Linked DNA regions of Macaca mulatta. The protein of the gene in region 2 interacts with the protein of the main gene of each other region in a pairwise test. Links are inferred from orthologs where the notes say so. Each region holds a gene or a part of one and is shown on either strand. Other genes may lie near its edges. The genes, in order: TMEM115, CREB3, TM4SF4, ADTRP, USE1, ORMDL1 and ALG3.

Evidence for each region.
Region 1: the proteins of CREB3 (region 2) and TMEM115 interact in a two-hybrid assay, tested with the Homo sapiens proteins (2 studies listed by BioGRID and IntAct). The two-hybrid records come from large-scale screens. The link is inferred for Macaca mulatta from reciprocal best matches to the Homo sapiens genes CREB3 and TMEM115.
Region 3: the proteins of CREB3 (region 2) and TM4SF4 interact in a two-hybrid assay, tested with the Homo sapiens proteins (2 studies listed by BioGRID and IntAct). The two-hybrid records come from large-scale screens. The link is inferred for Macaca mulatta from reciprocal best matches to the Homo sapiens genes CREB3 and TM4SF4.
Region 4: the proteins of CREB3 (region 2) and ADTRP interact in a two-hybrid assay, tested with the Homo sapiens proteins (2 studies listed by BioGRID and IntAct). The two-hybrid records come from large-scale screens. The link is inferred for Macaca mulatta from reciprocal best matches to the Homo sapiens genes CREB3 and ADTRP.
Region 5: the proteins of CREB3 (region 2) and USE1 interact in a two-hybrid assay, tested with the Homo sapiens proteins (3 studies listed by BioGRID and IntAct). The link is inferred for Macaca mulatta from reciprocal best matches to the Homo sapiens genes CREB3 and USE1.
Region 6: the proteins of CREB3 (region 2) and ORMDL1 interact in a two-hybrid assay, tested with the Homo sapiens proteins (2 studies listed by BioGRID and IntAct). The two-hybrid records come from large-scale screens. The link is inferred for Macaca mulatta from reciprocal best matches to the Homo sapiens genes CREB3 and ORMDL1.
Region 7: the proteins of CREB3 (region 2) and ALG3 interact in binary tests that used the Homo sapiens proteins (3 or more experiments, as listed by UniProt). The link is inferred for Macaca mulatta from reciprocal best matches to the Homo sapiens genes CREB3 and ALG3.

What each region holds. Positions count from the first base shown.
Region 1 is NC_133407.1:113,836,767-113,840,924, reverse strand, and holds the start of TMEM115 (transmembrane protein 115), read left to right. Parts: upstream 1-1,358; 5' UTR 1,359-1,812; coding exon 1,813-2,663; intron 2,664-4,158. UniProt on the Homo sapiens protein: May play a role in retrograde transport of proteins from the Golgi to the endoplasmic reticulum. May indirectly play a role in protein glycosylation in the Golgi.
Region 2 is NC_133420.1:63,959,885-63,961,931, reverse strand, and holds the end of CREB3 (cyclic AMP-responsive element-binding protein 3), read left to right. Parts: coding exon 1-34; intron 35-124; coding exon 125-193; intron 194-842; coding exon 843-927; intron 928-1,024; coding exon 1,025-1,109; intron 1,110-1,190; coding exon 1,191-1,525; 3' UTR 1,526-1,547; downstream 1,548-2,047. Other genes in the region: GBA2 (non-lysosomal glucosylceramidase), read right to left, coding at 1,968-2,047. UniProt on the Homo sapiens protein: Endoplasmic reticulum (ER)-bound sequence-specific transcription factor that directly binds DNA and activates transcription. Plays a role in the unfolded protein response (UPR), promoting cell survival versus ER stress-induced apoptotic cell death.
Region 3 is NC_133407.1:52,489,460-52,492,959, reverse strand, and holds part of TM4SF4 (transmembrane 4 L6 family member 4), read right to left. Parts: intron 3,322-3,500; coding exon 3,185-3,321; intron 1-3,184. UniProt on the Homo sapiens protein: Regulates the adhesive and proliferative status of intestinal epithelial cells. Can mediate density-dependent cell proliferation.
Region 4 is NC_133409.1:171,335,003-171,339,101, forward strand, and holds the start of ADTRP (androgen-dependent TFPI-regulating protein), read left to right. Parts: upstream 1-1,299; 5' UTR 1,300-4,099. UniProt on the Homo sapiens protein: Hydrolyzes bioactive fatty-acid esters of hydroxy-fatty acids (FAHFAs), but not other major classes of lipids. Show a preference for FAHFAs with branching distal from the carboxylate head group of the lipids.
Region 5 is NC_133424.1:17,695,779-17,699,930, forward strand, and holds the start of USE1 (vesicle transport protein USE1), read left to right. Parts: upstream 1-1,352; 5' UTR 1,353-1,399; coding exon 1,400-1,501; intron 1,502-1,793; coding exon 1,794-1,843; intron 1,844-1,981; coding exon 1,982-2,060; intron 2,061-2,157; coding exon 2,158-2,310; intron 2,311-3,445; coding exon 3,446-3,455; intron 3,456-4,152.
Region 6 is NC_133417.1:94,776,624-94,780,668, reverse strand, and holds the start of ORMDL1 (ORM1-like protein 1), read left to right. Parts: upstream 1-1,245; 5' UTR 1,246-1,347; intron 1,348-1,582; exon of another isoform or gene 1,583-1,722; intron 1,723-2,402; exon of another isoform or gene 2,403-2,581; intron 2,582-2,996; 5' UTR 2,997-3,003; coding exon 3,004-3,177; intron 3,178-4,045. UniProt on the Homo sapiens protein: Plays an essential role in the homeostatic regulation of sphingolipid de novo biosynthesis by modulating the activity of the serine palmitoyltransferase (SPT) in response to ceramide levels.
Region 7 is NC_133407.1:96,379,989-96,383,943, reverse strand, and holds the start of ALG3 (dol-P-Man:Man(5)GlcNAc(2)-PP-Dol alpha-1,3-mannosyltransferase), read left to right. Parts: upstream 1-1,155; 5' UTR 1,156-1,177; coding exon 1,178-1,373; intron 1,374-3,955. Other genes in the region: EEF1AKMT4 (EEF1A lysine methyltransferase 4), read right to left, coding at 224-419. UniProt on the Homo sapiens protein: Dol-P-Man:Man(5)GlcNAc(2)-PP-Dol alpha-1,3-mannosyltransferase that operates in the biosynthetic pathway of dolichol-linked oligosaccharides, the glycan precursors employed in protein asparagine (N)-glycosylation.

The DNA.
Region 1 (4,158 bases), on a different chromosome or scaffold from region 2:
TTTGTAACCTGTAGGCCATGCACACTTCGGCACACACTGAAATCAGTGGCTGAAAGGAACGGATTCTGTGCTTTATAAAAGTACTTTGTCAAAAATTGTTTTAATTATATGTACAGCTTTTTGTTTTGAGACAAAGTTTCACTCTTGTTGCCCAGGCTGGAGTGCAATGGCACGATCTCGGCTCACCACAACCTCCGCCTCTCGGGTTCAAGCGATTCTCCTGCCTCAGCTTCCCGAGTAGCTGGGATTACAGGCATGTGCCACCATGCCTGGCTAATTTTGTATTTTTAGTAGAGACGGGGTTTATCCATGTTGGTCAGGCTGGTCTCGAACTCCCGACCTCAGGTGATCCGCCCGCCTTGGCCTCCCAAAGTGCTGGGATTACAGGCATGAGCCACCATGTCCAGCCTATATGTACAGTTTTTTTTTTAAGTAACTCAATATACAAAAAAAAAAAAAGACACAGAACACAACCACTGTCAGAAGCCACTGTGGCGTGAAGTGGGGCCAGAACACTTCTGGCCCAGGCTTGTGGAGAGACCTCTCTTCCTCCGCAGTGATCAGAAGTCTCTAGTGGGGAGGAGGGTCACTGAGGGCAGCCCAGCCTCGTCCGTGTGCGGGAGGGAGTCCTAGGTTCGTGCTCCAGGCCCACCTCACTTGGAAAAAAGGCAACGTGAAATAACAAAAAATGTTTCCAAGTGGGAGAAACCAAACAAAGGCAACATGGGCAACACTCGCTGAGTACCCAGGGTGGACTGGCATTTTACACCCCTTTCCACTTATTAGGACAGGAAGATCATGTCATCATCTATATTTTACGGTCCATGAAACTGAGTTTCAAAAAGGTTCAGGAACTTAACCAATGCCACACAGCCGCCAAGGCAGAGCAAGGGTTCCAGCCTGGGTCAGGTGCCATTCAACAGACCACGGAGGTTCTGTTTCTCACACAGTGACACACACCCACACGCCAGCAGACAAGGACACACTCGCTCAGAGGTACATGCACAAATAGAGCTACTCTTCCCAGGGAATTCAGCAAGTGTGGGCGCTAGAGCTGTGTTGCTTCCCGAACCCCCACCGCCGCTTTCAGGGGTTAGAGATGCTAATTCATCCCTTCCCACCTCCTGAGAACCGACGGAAACGGTCCCTGAGAACTACAAGTCCCAGCACAGTCCCCTCTCACCACGACGGGACCGATCCGTGCGCATGGCCTCCTGGGACTTGTAGTTCTAGCCAGAACCCTGTTCCACTCTTCCCCGGCTGCAACCAAGGACTCCGTATCCCAGCATGCAGAGGAGCCGGAACACAGGCGCTTAGAGAACAGCCCGCTGCCGCCGGGGGCGCGCAGGCGCAGCACCCCTGTTTGTCGGCCCCCCGAGAAAGAGGTACGGTCGAAGCCAGGAGCCAGGCCCAGCGGGAGCTGACCAGGCTTGACTCGGGTACGGAACTAGGCATCAGCCCCCTTGCGAACCGAAGGGCCTCGGAGTGGATGGAGGAGGCCCAGCCCTGAGATCAACGCCAGCCAGGCTAGCCTGGCACGGGGCCTACAGGGTGGGCAGGCGGGCGTGCCGAAGCCGTCCAGGGCCTTCCCTCAGGTCCCGGGCGAGGGACCTACACTGCGGCCCGGCGACAAGGCCCGACTCGGCCCCTCGGGACCAGAACCCCACCCGATCGGAAGCGGATCCTTTACCAGGGCCATAGGCCAGTGACTAGGCCGGGCCTGGGCCTCCCATCGGGGCCGGACTGGGACGAGGCCCCGGGGAGGCCCCTGGCCTACCAGACCCTTTCCTCAGGTCTACAGCCGCCGGGAAGATGCAACGTGCCCTGCCAGGCGCCCGCCAGCACTTGGGGGCCATCCTGGCCAGCGCCAGCGTGGTGGTGAAGGCTCTGTGTGCAGCGGTACTATTCCTCTACCTGCTCTCCTTCGCCGTGGACACAGGCTGCCTGGCGGTCACCCCGGGCTACCTCTTTCCCCCCAACTTCTGGATCTGGACCCTGGCCACCCATGGGCTGATGGAGCAGCATGTGTGGGACGTGGCCATCAGCCTGACCACGGTGGTGGTGGCTGGGCGTTTGCTGGAGCCCCTCTGGGGGGCCTTGGAGCTGCTCATCTTCTTCTCAGTGGTGAATGTGTCTGTAGGGCTGCTGGGGGCCTTCGCCTACCTCCTCACCTACATGGCTTCCTTCAACCTGGTCTACTTGTTCACTGTCCGTATCCACGGCGCCTTGGGCTTCCTAGGTGGTGTCCTGGTGGCACTCAAGCAAACCATGGGGGACTGTGTGGTCCTGCGAGTGCCCCAGGTGCGCGTCAGTGTGATGCCCATGCTGCTGCTGGCACTGCTGCTCCTGCTGCGGCTCGCCACACTGCTCCAGAGCCCAGCACTGGCTTCCTATGGCTTCGGATTGCTCTCCAGTTGGGTGTATCTTCGCTTCTACCAGCGCCACAGCCGGGGCCGAGGGGACATGGCTGACCATTTTGCTTTCGCCACTTTCTTCCCTGAGATCCTGCAGCCTGTGGTGGGGTTGCTGGCGAACTTGGTGCACGGCCTTCTGGTGAAGGTAAAGATATGCCAGAAGACGGTGAAGCGCTACGATGTGGGTGCCCCATCCTCCATCACCATCAGCCTGCCAGGCACAGACCCTCAAGACGCGGAGCGGAGAAGGTACTGTGAAATTTTCCAAAATCTTGTCAAGCTAGGAGCATACTGGTCGAGTCACATACCATCTGTTGAGGTGTTTGCCGTACATAGGTGGAGACCTACAGTCAGGTGTTGGGGCAGATCTGGAAAAATAAAATCAGTCTTTGGCCTTGAGGAACTCAGCAGTTAGGTGTCTGGGGTCCACGAGGCACTTTCCTCACCACTGTGGCCACCTAATAAGTCTCAAGAAATGCAGTTTCCTTTGGTGCTGTGAATGCCCAGTGGAGGCACACAGAACCCTGGCCTTGCCTCAGAATCTCAGAATCCTAGACATTGGGCCTGGGAGCCAGAAGCAACCTGCTGGTACTTTCCCTGTGAGGAAGGGAAAGGGAAGGAGGCCTGGGGTCCTCGAAAGGTGATCTGGGCCACTCCGGTTTCCAAATGCTATGTCCTCTTCCTGGGCTTTAACTCAGATGCTGTGCTTCTCTGCCACTTATTTATCGAGAGGGAAGCTTGGGGTATTGCCACATTTACCTCCGTCTCCAGCAGGCATGTGTCACCAAAACCAGACACAGGCTACATGACCCACTGAGGGAGCCTGCTGACTACACCAGGGAGTGGCGATGACCCTTTCATTATCTATAAACCAAGCCATCCACAGCATCAGGAGTCCCAGCTGAATTCTTCACTAAATGCACTTTGGCCAGGGCAGGAGGGGTCTTTTTAAATTCAGCTCTCTCTCTCTCCCCCAGATCTGTGGAGCCAGCAAAGTGGTCCCAGCTTTCACAAGATCCACAGCTCCATTTCCAACATTATTATTGAGTGTTTTGAGGCAATTACTTCAGTAGTAAAATCTGGGGCGGGCTTTGTCCTTTGCATTGCCAAGGCTCCTGCTTTTGCTCACCTGTGAATGGGGTCGTGGCAGAAAGCTCTATGAATTTAGCTGCAGTTATCCCTGTATTTACTCTCCACTGGGCTGTGGAATTGAGTGTGGGACACATTCCTTTCTTGAAGGAGTTCCAGCTGGGGAAGGGCCACAGATCACTATGGGCCCAAGGTGTGGTAGGTGTTGAAAAGTATATACAGCATGCTGTAGAGCATAATTCTGGGCTCTAGAGCTTGGGTCTTTATAGGTGATAAGCCTTAAGGACAGGAGTCTCTCTTAACCTTAGCTGGTATTAAAGTTGGGGCCAGGAGAGCTGGGCCTGGTAGGAATTGAACTGTCCCCCAGAGCTATTCAGGTGGCGCCAGGCCAGTGGGGACCCCTCCTCCACAGAGAGGTGTTGGATTATTAGGGTTGGCTGGACATTCAAAAACCTCTGCCCAGGCCCAAGAAAATGGATGGGGGGGAAGCAGGTTGGTGGGGAGGAAGGGAGGGTCAAGAGGCGGGTTCTTGGCATAGCCTTATGGTTGTTAGCTTACATGGGGGTGGGGATTATTCCTCCAGCCACTTTGACGTCTGACTGCATGGCCACGCCCTACTCCAAAGGGCTACCAGGAGAGGGAGGCAGGGTTTCCT
Region 2 (2,047 bases):
AAAAGAAGGTGTATGTTGGGGGTTTAGAGAGCAGGTATGAAAGGGAGAGGGACTCAGTTTTAAGTGTTAGGTTTTTGAAGGGAGGACACAGGCCATATCCCCATATCTTTGTTATTTCCCCCAGGGTCTTGAAATACACAGCCCAGAATATGGAGCTTCAGAACAAAGTACAGCTTCTGGAGGAACAGAATTTGTAAGTATCCCTCCAAACCATTCCCTTCCTACGCTCCTCATTTAATGTTTTCTCACTCTTTCCCCTGCCCTACACTTGATTTCTAACAGGGTGGCTGCCTTCACTAGGTCTCTGATTCTAAGAAGCTCACAGTAGTGGGGAATATATTTATAAGTAACTGAGAATAAGCTAAGTACCTAGAAAAAGAAAGGGGGTAAGAAAGACCTCATGGGCTTTCATAGGATTCTGGGGTTGGGTTGGGAAAGCATTCTAGGCAGAGAGAAAGCATCCTAGGCAAGAGGATTAGCCCAGCATAGTCCTCTTGGGCTGGAACACATGTGAGCTGGGACAGAAGGTAGAGAACGTAGAGAATGCCCGGTGAGGATTATGTGCATAGCTGATCAGACAATGGGGAACTACTGATGATATTTGCAAAGGAGGTTAAGTCCTGGAAGAGTTTGTTTTGTTTTGTTTTTGCTTTTTTTGTTTGTTTTAATGAGGAACTTCAGGCATTTTTTCCAGAGTGGAAGAAGTCGTTTGCAAAAATAGAATGAAAAGTAAGAGAGAGGATCCAGTGCAGAGATGGAGGAGGTGGCCTGAACAGGAGTTTCACTGTGTCTCAGGGTGCTAGGCCAGGGGATGCTCACCATTGGCCCCTCTCTTCCTCTAGGTCCCTTCTGCATCAACTGAGGAAACTCCAGGCCATGGTGATTGAGATATCAAACAAAACGAGCAGTAGCAGCACCTGCATCTTGGTGAGGATAGTGATGAGGGGAGAAATTCTTTTCTCAGTTGCTGGGGACAGTTGTGCAATCCAGAGCCCTTCTTCATCTCCTTTTTCCTCTGCTGTAGGTCCTACTAGTCTCCTTCTGCCTCCTCCTTGTACCTGCTATGTACTCCTCTGACACAAGGGGGAGCCTGCCAGCTGAGCATGGAGGTAAGAGGCTTAAGGATAGCTCTCAGACATGGGCAAGGGGAGAGGCCTGGGTTGGCCTCTGAAGATTCTTTGTCTCCTCAGTGTTGTCCCGCCAGCTTCGTGCCCTCCCCAGTGAGAACCCTTACCAGCTGGAGTTGCCTGCCCTGCAGTCAGAGGTGCCAAAAGACTGCACACACCAGTGGCTGGACAGCTCAGACCACGTACTCCAGGCCCCTGGCAACTCTTCCTGCCTACTGTACTACATGCCTCAGGCTCCCAGTGCAGAGCCTCCCCTGGAGTGGCCATTCCCTGACCTCTTCTCAGAGCCTCTCTGCCGAGGTCCCATCCTCCCCCTGCAGGCAAATCTCACAAGGAAGGGGGGATGGCTTCCTACCGGTAGCCCCTCTGTCATCTTGCAGGACAGATACTCAGGCTAGATATGAGGATATGTGGGGGGGGTCTCAGCAAGAGCTTGTGGGGCTCCCCATCTGTGTCCAAATAAAAAGGGGTGGGCGAGGGCTGGCTGCAGCTCCTATGCCCTATCAGGAGGACTGAGGGCTCAAACACACCACACTTACTGGCTTTCTGGGTCTTTTATTTGTACCCATGTGTCTCACCCCATGAATGTACCTGGGGAAATCAACTGACCTCCCTGAACATTTCATGCAGTGAGGGAACGGGTGAGGAAAGAAATAAATAAGTGATTCTAATGCTGCCTAGGTCACCCTCAACCCCCATTTACTGGCACAACTGGGTGGGGAGAAGGGAAGGGGTATGATTGTCCTGATGGCTCAGGGTTGCAGAAGGTTCAGAGGGGAAGGAGGAAAGGCCAGGCTGGAGGCTGGGCTATTAGTGCTTTCCTCCCACAGTTCAGACGGTTCACTCTGGGCTCACGTTTGCCATGGCTTCCTTTGGTCCAAACATAGGCCCTGTCCTTAGTCCTGTGCCCTGTTCGACTT
Region 3 (3,500 bases), on a different chromosome or scaffold from region 2:
AAGGCCTTGGATGGGAGGAGGTTCTACCTCAAAGGAAGCCAAGAGGGTGTATTTCAAAATGCCCAAGTTTCTTTTTCCTTCTAGGGTGTTTCTTTAATATGGTTCTCAGGACAGAACAAGTTAACTACTTTTGCTCCCTCCCTTAATATTATCATCAACAAACATTTCTGAGGAAAACAGTGCTAAATGCTACGACATTGCAGAGCCCTGGATTTTGTGCACTAAATTCGAAATCTCAGAGTCCACCTTGATTAGCTTCCCCTTTTCTCCTCACACCTAAACCTGATGACTCCATTTCAAACACTCTCTGAAATTTGTCTTTTTTGAGCCCCAATTCTGCTGCCTGGGTGATGTTCACCATCTTATCTGGATTATGACGGCAGCTTTTATCTCTCTTTAGTTCCTGAACCCTCCTATTTACTTTCCACATCACTAGCACCACCATGCCTCTAAAAGTCCAAAGTAGCCATGCCATGTCTTGCTTGAAGTCCTCTGCTGTGCCCTGATGCCCTGAAGGTCTGGCTGCCTCTCAGTCTCACCACATCGTGTGGCGGTCCCTTCTGCAAATCTCTCCTCATTCACACTGAGCTTCTGCCACGCAGTGCTCTGATGTTCCCTAAGCATGGCAGCCTTTTCATGCCTGAAATGCGTTTCTCCTCCCTCACTGGAAGGCAAACTTCTGCTCATCCTCCAAAATCAGCCCATGTCACCTTCTCGAAGGAGGTTCCCCCACACTCCTTCTCCATCTCACACTTTCTGCATTATGACGATCTGTTCCATGTGTTCACCCTAACCCACATGCTGATAGGGCAGGAACCATGTCTATTCATTTTTTGTTCCATGTTTGGGATAGGCTTCAGCACAAAATAAGATACTTACTACGCACACACACATACACACACACACACAGGTGTATATATACACCTATATATAAAAGTAGATATGTGTATATGTAGATATATAAATCGTGTGTGTGTGTGTATATGTGTGTGTATATATTATATATATATATTTTGAGACAGGGTTTGGCTCTGTTGCCCAGGCTAGAATGCAGAGGCATGATTACGGCTCACTGCAGCCTCAACCTCCTGGGCTCAAAAGATCCTCCCACATCAGGCACCTGGAGTAGCTGGGACTACAGGCATGCACAACCATGCCGAGCTAATTTTTTAATTAAAAAAAATTTTTTTTTCTTTTTTTGTAGAGGGGCGGTGGGGTGGGGAATTCTCCCTATGTTGCCCAAGCTGGTCTTGAACTCCTGGGCTCAAGCAATCCTTCCACCTCAGCATCCCAAAGTGCTGAGATTACAGGCATGAGCCACCACTCCCAGCCAATTAAAAAAAAAATCCTGCTACTAATTACTAGCCATTGAGCCCTGGGAAAGTTAACCTTTTTCAGCTTCATTTTTCTCTTTCAGGGATAAAAATTCTTCTCAGATTTATGAGGAAGATTAGGTGAGATAATGCACATAAAAACACTTAGCACTTAATCATTGGGAAGAAAAAGAAGAAGGAAAAGGAAGAAGAGGAGAGAAAGAAAAAAGAGAAGGAAAAGAAGAAAAGGAGGGGAGGGAAGAGGAAGAAGAACAAGAACAAGAAGAAGCAGTTGTCACCACAGCTGCCCTTTGGTAATAAGGGACAAATGACAACTGTCTCAAGTTTTCTCGTTTTGGCTCATACAAGTGACTGATCCTTTCTAGTCTCTGAGCAGCTGTGTATGAGTGTTAGGTTTCCAGCTATAACAACAGTTACTATATGCTGATTGGATAAGAAGATTCCACAGACCCTTTTAAACTATCAGATACTAGTATAGTACAGTATAGTAAAAGGAGTAGGAGGTAGAATCCAATGAGTTTTGCCAACAGGGAATCTAGGCAAAAAGCAGACAGTATGAGTCAATATAAATTGTGTTCTAGAAAAAACACTGTGACTTCAAGTGAGAAAACTTGGATTTGAGCTTCCGCCATTAAGAAACTGTATTCCTCTTGTCAAGTCACTTGTCCTCTCTGGGCCTCGGCTATCCTGCCTCCGAAGGAGAGTTAAATAATCTCATAAACTTTTTGTGAGGAGCAAATGAAACAATGTAGGTAACAGCACTTTGTTAACTGAAAACACCAAGCTATAGAAAGTTCAATTATTGCCGTAAGAAATTCAAGGTGAACTTCCGCAGTCAGAGGGAAGATTTGGAGCTGGCAGTGGTAGATAATATCAAAAAGGAATGTGAGTTCTTGTCTCAGAAGGGAGGAAACAGGATTTGAGGAGACAACAGAATGCTGCTGAAGGTTTGCCAGATGGCAGAGAGGGTGCAGTGAGATCTGGGCCCATCCCCTGAATGCCCTTCCTGTAGCCATCATGGCATATTTTGTACCTTGCGCAAAGAGCAGCCTTACATCTTACATGGGATTAAATTAAAACATAAGTAGTCAAAATCATCCTGGTCAGTGCAGGACAGAAAGATGTGTACTATGAAAGGCTAAGACTTGAAGTTAGAAGTCCTGAGTTTGAGTCCAGCACTGTCCTCAACTAACAATGTGACTTTGAAGCTCGTTAAACTTATTAAACCTGCCTTGGCACAGAGTAATTACCTCTTGATGTTACTATGAAGATTAAATTATAAATTTGTGGGATAAAGATCTTTACAGCCTACAAAGTACCATGATAATATGAAATGTTATCTTAATGAGGCTATTAACATTAACATGAGAAACCTACAATGATTTCAATGTCATTTTCTGTACATGCACTTAAACGATTGTTTAATTATAGGCAATTTGGGGTATTAGTGAAAGCCCTTGGGCCCAGTTAGTAATTATTCTTGTTTTCTATTATAAGATTTGCAACGAAAACTATTACTCTGTTTATTAATACTATTAGTTGCCTTGTGTTGCTGGTAATAAATATTTGGGTGCAAGTGATGACACAACAAATCTCTTCCTTCCCTCGGGCTAAAGGAGGCATCCATCCTCTTTTAGTTATTTCTCCTGGGATCTGTCAAAGGAGCAATTCGAAGTGAGATTCTATGCAACTTTGCTGTACTCCACAACTCCAGCTCTGCCTCAAAGGAGCACCGAGCCTGAGACTTGCATAAGGATGAAGACATGACATTGTGTGCAGTCTCCCCTTGGGCAATTTATCTGCCCGTGCCCCTTGTGGTGACAGGTGGGCATTGCAGGGTGTGGTCTTACCCGTCGTGGAAGGGGTAGCCCCAGGTACTATTGGCCATGAGGCATTTAGGACCCTTGTTGATTGAAATGGCTGAGACAATAAACGAGTATCCAGCTCCCAAGAATCCAACCACAGCAAATATCGTAGAGGTGAACATCTGAAAGAGAAGGGGAGAGACAGTCAAATTCTCCAGGTGGTCCAGAGGATACACTCAGCAAACCTAATCCACCTGCTGTTGAACATGGTGACTACAAGAAGTTATGGGGTAGGAGCTGGTCTTTATAGTAGATGGGGCCTGTGGGGTCTTCTAGAATGAATTTTGGTATCTTCTTTTCC
Region 4 (4,099 bases), on a different chromosome or scaffold from region 2:
GGGCTCGATCTTTGAGTTTTTTTTTACTGCATCCTGAGCTAAGCCTGACTGGTTAAAATAAAAGCAGCATTCTTCGTCTAGGAAAATGCAGAGTCCTCCTTTGTCAGCGGTCAGTAGGTTGAGACCTCTGTGGTTTTGTAAGACGACTGCCGCTAGGGAGTCTAGCTGAGCTTGTAAGGTGGATATGGAAGTTGCAAGGTCATCTATACCATCTGAAAGGCCTTTTGATAAGGTTTTATGGTGATAAGAGGAGGTTGTGATTCCTGCTACTCCTGTGCCTGCAGCCACTGTGATGCCTAGGCCTACGAGTAGTGGGATAAGCTATATGACCCGGCACCTGTGGTGTCAGAGTTGAGTATTTAGGGTTTGGAGGGGCAGGTTTCCTTCTGGAGCTATTCCTGTTTTAGGGCTGAGGAAGACCAGTGTACAGGTGCCTGTCCAGTTGGTCGGGAGACAGAGGTAGGTGGAGGTGCTGCATAGAAAGAATACACCTTGGCTAGGGAGGCTGAATTGGAAATGTGTGGAAAAAAGGGAGTGTAAAAGGTTGTTCTCTGAGCGGCAGGTGTGGAGGGAGGAGGCTAGAGCCACTTGGTTAGGGGTTGAAGAGGGTGTGTTGAGGTGAGCTGGCTGGCTCCTACTGCTGAGTTTTCTAAGTGTAGAAAGAAGAGTTTTGTGTTAATAAGTAGTTCGTTTGAGGGTGTGTTAGGCAGTGGGATTTCCATGCATTCGGAAGTGGGGACGGGGTCTAGACAAGCGCTCCACCCTGCGATTTCTGAGCAGGGCCTGTGTCGGTTATTGCAGAATCCTGATGTTTTTCCCGTGACTTGGGTCTGAGGGGGGTTGGAAAGTTTGAGAACTTGTGTGGAGTTTGTTACTGTTGTTCGGATGCCTGTTGGAGGAGTGAGTGTTAGGCTACAGTTGCATAAGCTAGAGGAGAGGGTGCCTAGGGGGACTCCTGAGGAAAGTTCGCGTTTTATGCATAGGGATTCGTGTTGGCTGAGTTTTAGTAAGTGCTCCTAAGATAACCTTGTGTTTTGAAGTATGTGCGGGAAGATTGAGTTTGTGACCTTTGAGTGCATTTACTCCTCTGAAACTTTGGTAGCGGGGGTGGAGGGTTATACTGGTGAGAACCCAGTGTTTGAGGGGAACTGGGAAGGCATCCTTTGATGTGGTTTCTGAGGTGTGTACACAACCAGCAGGCCTTGGCCAGGGAGGGGTTAGTTTGATTGAGTATCGTATGTGCCTGTTGAATGGTGCGCTGAAGGTGGAGTGGTAGTGAGAAGGAGGAGGGGAGAAGGAGTAGATAGACAGAGAGCAAGTGTAAAGGTAAAGAGTTCGGCTTCATCTGGAGTAAATTCCTGTAAATCCCCTTGAAATAGAAGATCGGTGATCCAATCCAGGAATGCCGTGAGGGTGGGATGTTCTGCGTAGGACAATGAGATGTTTTCTGTGATGCAGTGAAGGAAGAGGGTGAAACGGCAGGACGGGCAAAGACAGGACATTAGGGAGGGGCAACTATTTGTTGGTGGCTGTTACACCTGCTCTAAGCAGGATTATGAGGCAAAAGGTTACGGATATTGAGATTTTTTGTTTGAAACTCCACCCAGGAGGCAAGACAGTATATAGTCCTATGGCAAAGAGTAGAGTAAGTAGGGTGATTCCTGCAAGGGCAGCGTAATGGATGATTTCCATTAATAAGGGTTTAGATACTTAATGGTAAGGGGTGACAACTTATCTGTTATGGTTCATGGGGGAAGAGTGGGGTCTTCTGGGATGGGTGTTAGACGGAGTCGAGTTGGTCTGAGAAGGGTGCTGGAGTATTTGCAAGGAACAGCTGGTTGGTTAGTTGGTGGCGGGTCAGCTCCAGGGACCCTTTTTAAGCTGGAAAGATGGTACCAAAAGTTGTGTCCTGAAAGTTTGGCTGCGATGGGGGTAGTGAGAAGGAAGGGCCTTCCCCTCTTCGGTTTGAGACTCGTTGGAGTAAGAGTTTTTAGAAAGACATATTCTCCTGGAAGGAGTGTTTGGTCGGTGGGGCCTTGGTGGGGTTTTGGGAAGGCCTGCTCAGCTTGTTCATGGAGAATATGACAAATGAAGGAGAGTGTTGGGAGGTACTCTCCTAATTGAGAGTTAGGAGGGGGTCTGTTTTGTAAGAGGAAAGGGCATCCATACATTAACTCAAATGGACTGTGGAAGGAGGGAACTTTTGGACTGGCTCTGATGTGAGCCAGTGCTATAGGTAAAAGGGAGGTCCAAGGTTTTTTGACTTCAGGTGTGAGTTTGGTTAACTGAGTTTTGAGAATTCCATTTGCCCCCTCGACTTTTCCAGATGACTGGGGCTGGTATGGGATATGGAGGCACCACTGAACACCAAGGGATTGGGAGACTTGTTGGGTAATTTGGGAGATGAAGCTAGGCCCATTGTCTGAATGTATGGAGCGAGGGAGACCAAATCTAGGGATGATTTCTGTTATGAGAATTTGGGAGACTTCTGCAGCTTTTTCTGAAGGGTAGGAAATGCTTCTACTCAACCTGAAAAAGTGTCTACGAGGGTAAGAGGGTATTTAGTTTTTTTGACAGGAGGCATGTGGGTGAAGTTGACTTGCCAGTGCTCCCCTGGGAGTGTTCCTCTGAGCTGGTGTGTAGGGATGAGGAGAGGGCAGATGGCCCCTTGGGAGGAATATATGACAGTTTGAGGTTATGTCCTTTAGTGAGATGAATAGATGGGGGGAGGAGAAATAAGGGCGAAGGGGTAGGCACAGAGGGTGTGCACCAATATGGAAGGACTGGTGAAGAGATGTTAGAATTTCCTTGCTTTGCTCTTGGGGAAGAACGAGCTTTTGATGTTTGGTTATCTAGTCCCCTTGAAGGGAGGTTCCTTGCTGTAGTATCGAAGCCTTTTCGGTGGGAGGGTATTTGGGTGGGACTGCTGGGGTGACAAGGAGGATGGGCGCAGGGAGAGGAGAAAGGGAGCCCTGTTTTGCTGCCTCATCAGCCTTCCTATTTCCTTTTGAGATTTCATCTGATCCTGCTTGATGTCCTCCACAGTGTATGACTCCTGCTTCCGTGGGGAGGTGTGCGGCCTGAAGGAGTTGGTAAATAAGGGGCCGTTAGTAGTGGGGGTTCTTTTGGCGATAAGGAATCCTGTCTCTTGCCAGATGGTGGCATGGGAATGAAGAATGTGATCGGCATACTTGGAGTCTGTGTATATGTTGACCTGTTTGTCTTTGGAGAGGGTTAGGGCTCTGGTGAGAGCTATGAGTTCTGCCTTCTGGGAGGAGGTTCCTTGGGAGTAGGAATTTAGCCTCAATTACATGGTTTAAGGTAACTACTGCATACCCAGCAATTTTGGGAGAGCCAGGGGCTCCGGAAGATGAACCGTCTGCGAATAGTTGGTCATCTGGGTTAGTGAGAGGCTCAGAGGAGACGTTAGGGAAGTGTGGCTGCAGGTGATCCAGAATGTCAGTGCAAGAATGAATAAGAGGGGAAGAGGATATTGGAACTAGCGATGCCGGCTTGAGGGGGGCTCTTTTGGCAAGGCTGAATTTGGGATTTTAGATAAAGAGGGCATGGAGTGACTGAATTCGGGAAGGAGAGAGGGAGCTCAACGCCCGGGAGGAGAGAAGATCCTGTAAGTTGTGAGAGCTGTGGACGGTGGTGCTTTGGCAGAATGTTAGTTTTTTACTTTCCAGAGCTAAAACAGCTGCTGCTGCTAATGCTCTAAGACATGTTGGCCACCCTCTGACAGTGTTGTCTAACTGTTTAGGGAGATATGCCACAGCGGCAAAGGAAGAAGGACTTCGCTTCTGTTGCCCTAAGACCCCGAGAGCTATTCCTTGGTTTTCAGCAGTATAGAGAATGAAGGGTTGGGAGACATCTGGTAAGGACAGGGCAGGTGCAGTGATGAGAGCAGTTTGGAGTCTACGAAAATTGGGAAATATGTTGTGTGTGGGGCTTAGGGGTTCATTGAGAGGGCCTCTGGCTGCTTCATAGAGGGGCCGAGCCAGGAGGGCAAAGTTGGGAATCCATATCCTAAAGAAACATGCCAGTCCTAAGAAAGAGAGAATTTCATTTTTTGAGGAAGGCAGAGGCAAGCTGTTTC
Region 5 (4,152 bases), on a different chromosome or scaffold from region 2:
TCTCAAACTCCTGACCTCAGTTGATCACCTGCCTCAGCCTCCCTAAGTGCTGGGATTACAGGCGTGAGCCACTGCGCCCATCCGTCTATGGTATTTTTCAAGGACATCAGGCCCACTGGTGTGACCAAGGTACAGATGATCTAAGGTATGGGAAAACATGAGGGCTGCATGCCAGGCCCTGGTCCCTGTGAAGCCCCCACCCTCATCCTCTCACTCCAGAAGCGTGGCACTGCAGGCATAGGGGTACTCAGCTTCCAGGTAATGAGGTGGGCTGGGAAGGGGTTCTCTCCACGGGGGTCTGGGCGTTAGGGGGGACCCAGCCCCACCTTGCTCACTCTGAGGCAGAGCTGCCCCATATCACCCTTGAGGCAGGTACTGTCACACTGTACATTTCCCGGGGGAAGAAACGGATCAAGAAAAGTTAAACTCGCCCAGGGCCGGGGATGGAATCAGAGCTGGAGCTGTGACCTGGAAGCTCATAACCACAATACAGATGAGCCCCGCTGAGGTGGGGGAAGCCTTGGATTCCTGAATTCCAGGCTAGAGCCCCTCCTACAAGAGAAATCGGGAAGGGCCCGCGGAGGTGAAACAGCTCCGACTGGGAAGAATCCAGGTAGTAGTGGGGTGGGGGGAGGTACTTCGAGCAAGCAAAACAGAACAAGAGGGCACAGTGCAGGGGGGTCTGACACCCGAAGATCCCGGTCGTCCTATCATTCCCGAAGGGTTAACACGCTCTCGAAGAAAAGGAAGTGATTCGCCTGAGTAAGAAAGAATGGGGTGGCGCCTCTCCTATTTTTTTTTTTTTTTTTTTTTTTTGAGACGGAGTCTCGCTCTGTCGCCCAGGCTGGAGTGCAGTGGCCGGATCTCAGCTCACTGCAACCTCCGCCTCCCGGGTTCACGCCATTCTCCTGCCTCAGCCTCCCGAGTAGCTGGGACTACAGGCGCCCGCCACCTCGCCCGGCTAGTTTTTTGTATTTTTTAGTAGAGACGGGGTTTCACCGTGTTAGCCAGGATAGTCTCGATCTCCTGACCTCGTGATCCACCCGTCTCGGCCTCCCAAAGTGCTGGGATTACAGGCTTGAGCCACCGCGCCCGGCCCTCTCTCCTATTTTTTTTTAAATAGAGGTAGGGTCGCGCTATATTGCCCGGGCTGGCCTCGAACTCCTGGCTTCAAGCAATCCTTTCCCAACTCCGCCTCCTAAAATGCTGGCATTACAGCCCTGAGGCAGCGCGCCCGGCCCAGCGCCCCGCCTCAAAACAAGGTATTACTTCTGCTCCAAACAAAGATGGGCCAGCGAACGGGAGCAGGCGAAACATCCGCCCGGAAGGCCACTTGAAGGCACTTCCGCCCTCTCTTAACATGGCGCCGGCGGAAGGGGCGGGGTAGGGCCGGGCGATAATGGCGGCGTCGAGGCTGGAGCTGAACCTGGTGCGGCTACTATCCCGCTGCGAGGCGATGGCAGCGGAGAAACGGGACCCGGACGAGTGGCGCCTGGAGAAGGTGAGGGGATCTCGCACTGCCGCGTAGAGTCCGACTCCCGGGGGGTGGTTCCTAGGGTTGGAAGCCACCTAGCCGGACTCCCCTGCCCCAGTAGCCTCTCGGGCAGCGCCCTTTCCGGTCAGTCCCGCCACGTCTACCTGTAGCTTCCGCCCCCGTCCCTGGGACTCCGCCCCTCCCCCACTGGCCCCGCCTCCTTTGCGCTTGACCCCTCCCATTTGTCGGCCCCGCCCCCCACTCCCATGAGCAGGACGTGGGAACGACCCCCGGGTGACAATCCACTTTTCCTCCCCAGTACGTGGGAGCCCTGGAGGACATGTTGCAGGCCCTGAAGGTCCACGCGAGGTGAGTGCAGGCAGCCTTACTGCTTTCACATCAGCACGTGGCTATTCTGGGACATCCCAGTACCGCTGTCCCAGCTGGGACCCTTCCCTGAGCTGGGGACCATGGACAGGCTTTCTTTTTCTTCTTCCTACCTCCCAGCAAACCGGCCTCTGAGGTGATCAATGAATATTCCTGGAAGGTGGATTTTCTGAAGGGGATGCTGCAAGCCGAGAAGCTGGTGAGAAGGGGTGCCCCTCCCCCTCAGCCCCCATCACCGCTCACTTTCGTCCCCAGGACCTGCCCCTCCAGTGACTTCTCTTCCCACATTTCTGCAGACCTCCTCCTCAGAGAAAGCACTGGCCAACCAGTTCCTGGCCCCTGGCCGTGTGCCAACCACAGCCAGAGAGCGAGTGCCCGCCACAAAGACGGTGCATCTGCAGTCACGGGCGCGGTACACCAGCGAGATGCGGAGTGAGCTACTAGGCACGGTAGGGCTCCTTTCCTGGTCCCTGGGAACCCCTTGGACAGGGACGGGGGTTCTATGCCTGCAGGCAGCCGGAACCACAATACTGTCAGATACAGGGGCTCTGAGGGGGTCCAGCAATCGCTTCCCTGGGTCATCACACAAGGCCGCCCAACAGAGGGGCACTGTGGCTAAGGCTTTGCTAGATGAATAGCAAATTTGGTACAAGGCAAAAATGGAACGTGTCAGGTTAAGCCCCAGAGTTGGCCCAAGAGCAGGGTTTGAGTCCTGGCTTGCAACTTACAAGACACGAAAGTTTCTTCAGCTGTAAGAGAAGATGACAAGTTCCTTTCTGAGCACTTTATGTGGATCAGCTCAATCTTTTAAAATATGAGTTGTTGTGGCGGGGCGCGGCAGCTCACGCCTGTAATCCCAGCACTTTGGAGGCCAAGGCGGGCAGATCATTTGAGGTCGCGAGTTAGAGACCAGCCTGACCAACATGGAGAAACCCCGTCTTTACTAAACATACAAAATTAGCTGGGCGTGGTGGCACATGCCTGTAATCCCAGCTACTCAAGAGGCTGAGGCAGGAGAATCGCTTGAACCTGGGAGGCAGAGGTAGCGGTGAGCCAAGATTGAGCCATTGCACTCCAGCCTGGGCAATAAGAGCAAAACTCCATCTCAAAAAATATATATATATGAGTGGTTGTTACCAGTTTATAGTTGAGGAAACAGGCTCAGAGGTCATGGGATTTCCCCATGTCCTGACTGAAGGTGAAAAGGTTGAGATCAGAAGGGACAGGTTTGGGAACAAGACAAGGGGGGTGACTTCATGGCATTTACTTTTTTTTTTTTTTTTTTGAGATGGAGATTCACTCTTGTTGCCGAGGCTGGAGTGCAGTGGGGCGATCTCGGCTTACTGCAACCTCCGCCTCCTGGGTTCAAGAGATTCTTCTGCCTCAGCCTCCTGAGCCATGGAATCACAGGCACCCCTACCACACCTGGCTAATTTTTTGTATTTTTAGTAAAGATGGGGTTTCATTACGTTGGCCAGGCTGGTCTCGAACTCCTGACCTCAGGTGACCTGCCCACCTCGGCCTCCCAAAGTGCTGGGAGTGAGCCACCGCACCCAGTCTCATGCCACTTACTTCTTTCCACAGGACTCTGCAGGTGAGTCACCATGAACACAACAGGACTTGAGGGCCAGCTGCCTAGGACAAGACATACATCCTTGCTGCCCTGGGGCCTCCATGCCCAGCCTGACTCCAACAGCAACATAACCAAATTACACGTGGAGGAAGAGCCAGGACAGAGGAAATGACCCCGAGAGGAAACAGAGCTAGGCACTCCTGCCGGGCACAGTGGCTCACACCTGTAATCCCGGCAATTTGGGAGGCTGAGGCAGGTGGATCACTTGAGGTCAGGAGTTTGAGACCAGCCTGGCCAACATGACCAAACCTTGTCTCTACTAAAAATACAGAACTTAGCCGGATGCAGTGCCGCCTGTCTGTAGTCCCAGCTCCTCAGGAGGCTGAGGCAGGAGAATTGCTTGAACCCAGGAGGTGGAGGTTGCAATGAGCTGAGATCACACCACTGCACTCCAGCCAGGGTGACACAGCAAGACTCCCTCTCAAAAAAAAAAAAAGGAAAAAAATTAGCCAGGTGTGGTGACGCACACCTATAGTCCCAGCTATTTGGGGGGCTGAGGCAGGAGGATTGCTTGAGGCTGGGAGGGGGAGGTTGCAGTGAGCTGAGATCGTGCCAGTGCACTCCAGCGTGGTTGACAGAGAAAGACTCTATCTCAAAAATAAGCAAATAGATAAATTTGTTAAAGCTAGGCACGCCCAGCCTATGGGACCAAGGCTAG
Region 6 (4,045 bases), on a different chromosome or scaffold from region 2:
TCTGTCTGTTCCTCCTGACTCAGAGTTCTTTGAGGACAGGGGTTTTATTTTATATCAATCACACATTCCTAGCATAGCCCCTGGAATATAGCACTCTATACCATATGTGTACCAAATGAATGCTTTTGAAAAAGTGGAATGGTTTATATCGGGCTTACAAATCACAGCAAAGAATGTCTGGGAATATCAGGATAGTCAGTCTTCCATATTTACTGAGAGGGAAAAGGAACACTTCTGAAGGAATGTTGATGACCCGGAAAGTCAGTTAAGGACAACAAGTCTGCCTGAAAAAAGAAGTAAAGATCAGAGAAGTCACAGACTTTCATTAGAGAGAACACAAAGAAATCATTTATTTAAAGATCCGACTAAATCCAAAACAAGTTCACAAAGCCAACAGAAATTCAAGATACATAGACATACACAGCGAACATTCTCAAGTCAATTTCAAAATGTTGAAAGCTATTTAGGCAATAAAGATCACAAACTTTCCGCACTGCCAAGGTGAGGGAAATTACATTTCAAAGGCGATTCCAAAAAATCTAATCAAGACTTTCCTCAGGATCAGTTTTTGGTATCCACATTTCCTCAGTATGTGTAATACAGGTGCCTGTCTTGGGCGTACGGATAAACCCAGAAGGCCACGAGCAAACATCGTGATTAACTTTAAAGAGTTTAACTTGCACCCCTTGTATGATGCCACAGGATAGAATACTATAAACCGCCAACCTCACAAGATGAGTTACAGTTGCCATGGGTTAAATTTGCTGCCTGGAAAACAAATTTTAAGTCCTGCACCCAGAAGGGTCTGGGAATGGGCCGCAACAAAGACCAAGCCAGAACACCCCGAGCCCAGATCAGCTCAGAGAACGCGCTCCACGTGTACGCGCCTGCAAGCCCGGCTTCGCTTCCCGCCCGCGGGGAGCGCCCTTAGCTGCACTACAGCGTTCGCGCCCGGACCAGGACGAGTAAAGGAGATGGGGGCCCTCAAGCCCTCGAGAATATAATAAATACCCGTTAGTCATACCACACTACCTTCCTGCTAGCGCGAGGCAGGCAATTACCATCCACCAGCGGCAAGCAGCCAGCGTCTCACCCGGAGCGCAGGCCCGACCCCGCACTCGCACCCAGCATGCGCGCGGCACAGCGGATACAAGGAGCGCGGCACTTAGTCCCGTCTCGCCCGGGGGGAACGTAAGATTGGCGCTGCTCGCAGCCAATCCGCTGGCAGCGAGTCTGTCTGTGAACGCTTCCGCAAGCTACGCAGCGCCCGGCCTGAGGGCGTGTATCCGCGGCCGTAGCAGCCCGGCTGGTCCTGCTGCGAGCCGGCGGCCGGGAGTGGGGCGGCGGGTAAGTGGGCACGAACACGACGGACGCTGTACAGTCTCCTTCGTCCGTAGGGAACTGCTGGCGGCCTAGGGTCGTCCTGAGAGGGAAAAGTGAGGTCCGGCTGCATCTGCGGCGCCCTGCGTGGCCGTGCGAGCCGTGGCCTCAGAGGCTCGTCCCCTACGCAAATCTTCGCTGTCTTGCCAGGGTCCTGACGTGACGTGCGGCTGCGAGAAGGCAGGGGCGGGTTGGGGGAGGTGCTGAGGTGGTAGCAGCGGCGGCCTTTGCTGCGTTTTCTCTGTCCCAGAGGGCTCAGGCAGGGGGAACTCCCTTGAGGGGCCGCTGCGGGTCGCCGTCTCCGGAGGCACCGGCGAGGGCAGAGCCGACGGCCTCTTCACGGTCTGTAAGGTCATTGTTTACCAGTCGCGGGGCAGCGCGGCAAACCTGCTGGGGAAAGGTTTTCTGGTTGGAATAGGATGAGTACCGCACCAGCTTTGCCTTCCAGCTGAGATGTAAATTTCAGGCCTCCATCCTGTGGAACGTGGGAAAACTATCTTGAGTGTTGGCATGTTCTAAGTAGTTTAAAATAATGTATGATAAATGATGTGTGTTTAGACGAAGGATTTACACATACAAATTGGAGACTCTCGCGGTCTTAGTGTAACTAACTTTTCGTCCCCTTAACCCTTGATGCCTGTTCTGTGCGTCTCTAGAGGGGAAGGAGCATTATACTCTGGAAGCACTTGCTGGATGGGGAAAAGAGAAGTTCCTCTCCGTATGCTAACTCCGTAATACAAGCGTTTGTGTATTTTAAAATCACAACTGTTCCAAATGTAATCTAGCCTCGTTTTCCCCCTCCCTCGGATGATAGGTGTTCTTCAGGACAGTTTTATTTTAAGGAATTCTTAGACCCAAGTAAACACCATCATTAAAAGAACTGGTAACTATTATCAGTTCTTCCTTTGGAGTCCATCTTAAATGGAAAGGAGATGGGAAAAACTTTTTTAAAGAGAAGAAAGAAAACTGAAGTTTTTTAATTGACTAGAGAAATATTCAGAAGACTCTTTATTTTCACCTAGATGTATCACAAAATTGAGAAACAAACATTATCCCTTGACCATGTAGATTTTACACCACATTATGTCAACGGCATGTACCTTCCACATTCAGTATTCAGAAAGAAGTGATCTGAACTCTGACTATTCTTTATGGATACAGTAAGTCAGATATAAGAGTGGCTACTTGACAGACTGGCTGGGTGAGTTCTGCTTTTTCTTTTTAATATAAATTTATTATGTTGGTAAATTTAGCTTTTGGCTTTTCACGTTGCTCTCATGATATAAGAAAATGTAGGTTATCTCTTTCAGTTTGAATTTTCCTATTTAGTAAAACAGCATGCTAGAAAACAAACTTTAGGAAAGGCATTTTAACTACTTTTTAAATTAGAACCATGATAATAAGTCTTGTCTTACCATAAAGTCAGATGTTGACGATTCTTCACTGCTGTCAGCAGCATCTCTACAAGTAGCATATTTTGGATGGTGTTTGTGTGCTACCTCAAGATAACTAGGAAAAAATAATCATCCTGACACATGTACCTTGTCATGTCAGAATTGGGGGTGTTTAGGTTGCCAGTTATATCAGTGTTGATTCATTTTATTACTTTCCTATAGAGCAAACATGAATGTTGGAGTTGCCCACAGTGAAGTGAATCCAAATACCCGTGTCATGAACAGCCGGGGTATGTGGCTAACATATGCATTGGGAGTTGGCTTGCTTCATATTGTCTTACTCAGCATTCCCTTCTTCAGTGTTCCTGTTGCTTGGACTTTAACAAATATTATACATAATCTGGTAAGAATTTCACATTATACTAAACACTTAAAAGTTTTAGGTTTAGTGGTTGCCAGAAATTAAGGGGCGGAAGGAATGGAGGGTTATTGCTTAATGGGTACAGAGTTTTTAGTTTTGCAAGATGAAGAGAGTTGTGGATGTCGATGGTAATGGTGATGATTGCACAACAATATGAATGTTTTTAATACCACTCAATTATACATTTAAAATCGCAGCACTTCGGGAGGCCAGGGCGGGTGGATCACAAGGTCAGGAGTTCAAGACCAGCCTTGCCAACATGGTGAAACCTTATCTCTACTAAAAACACAAAAATTAGCTGGGCGGGGCAGCACATGCCTGTAGTCCCGGCTACTCTGGAGGCTGAGGCAGGAGAATCCCTTGAACCTGGGAGGCAGAGGTTGCAGTAAGCCAAGATTATGTCACTGTACTCCAGCCTGGGTGACAAAGTGAGACTTTGTCTCAAAGGAAAAAAGCATCTAAGATGGTAAACTTTATGACGTGTGTTTAAACACAGTTTTTAAAAAAGCTTAAGGTTTTGTGATATGTACAACTTAGTTTTTTTAACAGCTTTTTTTGAGATATAATTCACATGCAATAAAATCCACCCATTTAAAGTGTATAGTTTAGTGGTTTTTAGTATATAAGACTTAATTTTGAAGAATTCTAATCTGGGATAGAATTTTCTTTTTTCTTTCACACTTTATTTCAAAACTGGGCCTTTTTCTAAGTAAGACTTTTTTTTTCTCATTGTATAAAATCTAGAAAATAGATCATTTTGGTTTCAATCCTTGTTAACTTATCTATCTAAATTGTATAAGTATTCTTTACTGTTTCAGTATTTAAGTGTTGAACTTAATCATATCTTATG
Region 7 (3,955 bases), on a different chromosome or scaffold from region 2:
ACCCTGAGGGGGTGTCTTTCTCCCGAGGGCCCCGGGACCGACAATCTCTTACTCTATTTGCCTTGACTAAATACAGCCGGGACTCTGAAGGAGCTGGATCTCGCGTCCCAACTCAGGCGTCCTCCAAGAGGGTAGACAGGCGGGAGGAAAGCGGACCGGGCCAAGCCCGCGCGGCGCCGGTCCTGCCAGCTCTACCTGGCGGGGCCGCGCCGGGATTACCCACCTAACACAAGGATACGGTCCTCGGGCCGCAGCTCCGGCTCTAGGAGGGCACGGAAGGAGGAGAAGTCCCCGAACCAATCGTAGGGGGCAGAATCGGCTGCGCCTTGGTAGCGCTGATCCCAGTACTGGACTTCGCGGTACCCGCAGTTCCGCTCCGGTAACTCCGGCGGCGCTCTACCGGCCCCTGGAGAAGCCATGCTCTCAACCGCGGGGACTGCCAGAGCCGCCGGCCCTTCAGCCAATACGGACGGCAGGATGCAGAAGGCTGGGCCCTGGTGTCTCCGCCCACCACCTGCAGTTGCTCAACACAAACACGTGGAACTTCCGTCCTTTACTAAGCGCTCTTTGAACAATCCTCCGGCTGGGAAAACCATCGTCCAGACCCTGAATCCTCCGGCTGTATTGCCAACTCATTTCCTAGAGCTGCATTCATGGTGTCAGACTCACGTGGGCTCATCACTGCGTCCTCTCATATTTTCAATGTGAATTACTTTTATTAGGAAGTCTGAAAATCAGTGAAAGGTTCATTTTTCTCAGCATCCGGAAGGCTCTAAGCAGAGGCAGGAGGGGCGCGAACAGGGGCTTTGCCCTCCTGGAGAGACAGCATGAACACAGATGTTCCCAGCGTAAGCGAAGTAGAATGTTGGCTTCAGGGACTGTAGCGGAGGTAGGCAGGAATGTTGCTTTTCTGGACATTCGTTCTAAATTAGCGCCTGTGTACCTAGGGCTGGGTATAAACTGAGGAGTAAGACATTGTTCCTGCTCCTATGGAGCGTGGAGTGCATCAGAGGAGACAAATGTAGAGGAAAAATTACATTTTAGTGGAGTAAATGAAGACTGGCTACCCGGATCGGCGCTTAGCCTGGTGGGACGCCAGGCGCGGGAAGCGGAACCTAAGTGTCGAAGGTTCGGGTTTCCGCGGGTGGTGGGCCCACACAAGCGGTGCACCGTTAAGATGGCCGCTGGGCTGCGGAAACGCGGACGGTCCGGTTCCGCGGCCCAGGCAGCGGGACTCTGCAAGCAATGGCTGCAGCGCGCCTGGCAAGAGCGGCGCCTGCTGCTGCGGGAGCCGCGCTACACGCTGCTGGTGGCCGCCTGCCTCTGCCTGGCGGAGGTGGGCATCACCTTCTGGGTCATTCACAGGGTGGCATGTGAGTGCGCCGAGGGGGAGGGGAGGGGAGGGGAGGGAGGGAGACCTGAACCCGCGACCCAAACTGGATCTCAGACCTGGAACTCAAAACCAGACTCTGTATCCACTCACTCATCAATTGCAAACCCATACATATCCCTTACCTGAGCTCCAAGCCTGCTCTACAGAAACCGGATCTTAATCTGCCCGCATGGCAGAGGTGGATACCCTAGAGATTGGCCTTCTGCACTGAACTTACAGCCTGCGAACTAGCTTAGAAGTCAGATTTGAGCCAAAATTGTTGTATTGCTGCTGTTGCTGCTTTTCTCTGTGGCTTTGGACACCTCAGGTCTCCTCCTGAATCTCAGCTTTTTCCATGTATTCAGTTCTGTGATCTTTGAACGTCCCTTCTCAATGATGGCATTTTGTGACCACTTGAGTCCATTAGGCACTATTGGCTACTCTTTTCCAGGCTGAAACTATACTCTAGGCTTAAGGCACTTGACTTTCTTGCTAAAGACTCTTAATTCAACAAATATTTATTTAGTGCTTATTATATGCACTAAATATTTATTTAGTGCTTACTATATTACCAGAGAGAGGTACAGTGGTGAATAAGAGATGCATTTCTAACTCCGGTCTGGACAATAAGTTAGCAGGCAATGATAATGCATCGTATTCATCATGGTAGTAAGACAGAATGCCATAAAGGGCATAGGAAGTCACTTAAACCAGATTGGAGGAGTCAGCAAAGGCTTCATAGAGCCACCCTTGAAGGAAGGTAGGAACTAGCTAGTTAAGGAAAGAAGGAAAAGGTGAGGGGAAGGAGTGCTCTGGGCAGAGGATCCTCTATTAAAAATATCCAGTTAGGCCGGGTGCGGGAGCGCAGGCCTGTAATCCCAGCATTTTGGTAGGCCTAGGTGAGTGATCTCCTGAGGTCAGGAGTTTGAGACCAGCCTGGCCAACATGGTGAAACTCCATCTCTACTAAAAATATAAAAATTAGCCGGGGGTGGTGGCACATGCCTGTAATCCCAGCTACTCGGGAGGCTGAGACAGGAGAATCGCTTGAACCTGGGAGGCGGAGATTGCAATGAGCCAAGATTGTGCCACTGTACTCCAGCCTGGGTGACAGAGTGAGACTCCGTGTCAAAAAAAAAAAAAAAAAAAAAAACAGAAACTCTCTAGTTAGAGTGGGCACGGTGGCTCATGCCTGTAATCCCAGCACTTTGGGAGGCTGAGGTGGGCGGATCACTTGGGGCCAGGAGTTAAAAGACCAGCCTGGCTGGGCACGGTGGTTTACGCCTGTAATCCAAGCACTTTGGGAGCCCGAGGCGGGCGGATCACCTGAGGTCAGGAGTTCAAGACCAGCCTGGCCAACATGGTGAAACCCTGTGTCTACTAAAATAGAAAAATTAGCTGGGCATGATGGCAGGTGTCTGTAATCCCAGCTACTTGGGAGGCTGAGACGGAAGAATTGCTTGAACCGGGGAGATAGTGGTTGTGGTGAGCTGAGATCGCACCACTGCACTCCATCCTGGGTGGCTGAGTGAGACTCTGTCTCAAAAGAAAACAAACAACAACAACAACAAAAACCAGCCTGGCCAACATGGTGAAACTGCATCTCTACTAAAAATACAAAACTTAAAAATTACCCAGGCATGGTGGCACACACCTGTAGTCCCAGCTACTTGAGAGACCGAGGCAGGAGAATCACTTGAACCCAGGAGGCGAAGGTTGCAGTGAGCTGAGGTCGTGCCACTGCACTCCAGCCTGGGTGACAGAGTAAGACTCTGTCTCAAAAAAAAAAAAAAAAAAAAAAAAAAAAAAAGCCTGGTTCCTTTGAGGAACTGAAATAATTTTTTTAGAGCTGGAGTATAGAAATCAAGTGAAGAGAGTAGTAAGAGATGGGAATGCAGAAATTGAGACCAGATCATGAAGAAATTGGAAAGCTTTGTTAAGAAGACAGCATGATAATTAAGAACCTAGGACCCTGCAAGCTTCAATCCCAACTCCACCATCCTAGCTCAATTATCTTAAGCCAGTCACTTAACCTAATTAATTCTTAAGCTCCCTTTCTAAAAAGGGGAATAATACAGAGTTTTCTTTATCTTAAGGGTCTTGGGAAATCATTGAGAGGTTTTAAGCAGAGGCCTGTTATGATTTGTATTTCAGGAAGAACTCTTTGGTGTACAAGGTGGAAAATACATCGTAGTAGGGTAAAAGTAGAAGTCAGGGGCCTAATTAGCAGGCTATTATATAATCACTGGGGCTAGAGATTACTTTAGGCTCCAAGTATGTAGTAGCAGAGAAGGATGAGATAGAAATATTTATGGTGAGGAGCAGGCAGAACTTGGTGATGAAGGGTTGGAAATGAGAGAGGAGGGAGTATCAAAGATATTACTCAGGTTCGTGACCTGGTAGCTAAGAGGTCAGTGGTGACATCTGTGGAACCCAGGAAGGGGAGTAGATTGGAGTGGGAGGAAAGATCACGAGTTCACTTACAGAAATGTTGAGTTTGAGATGCCTGGGCTCACCCAGAGAATGTCAGATAAAGAGTTAGATTAAGAGGTAGTGAAGCCCTGGGAATTGGCTGAAAGTCTGT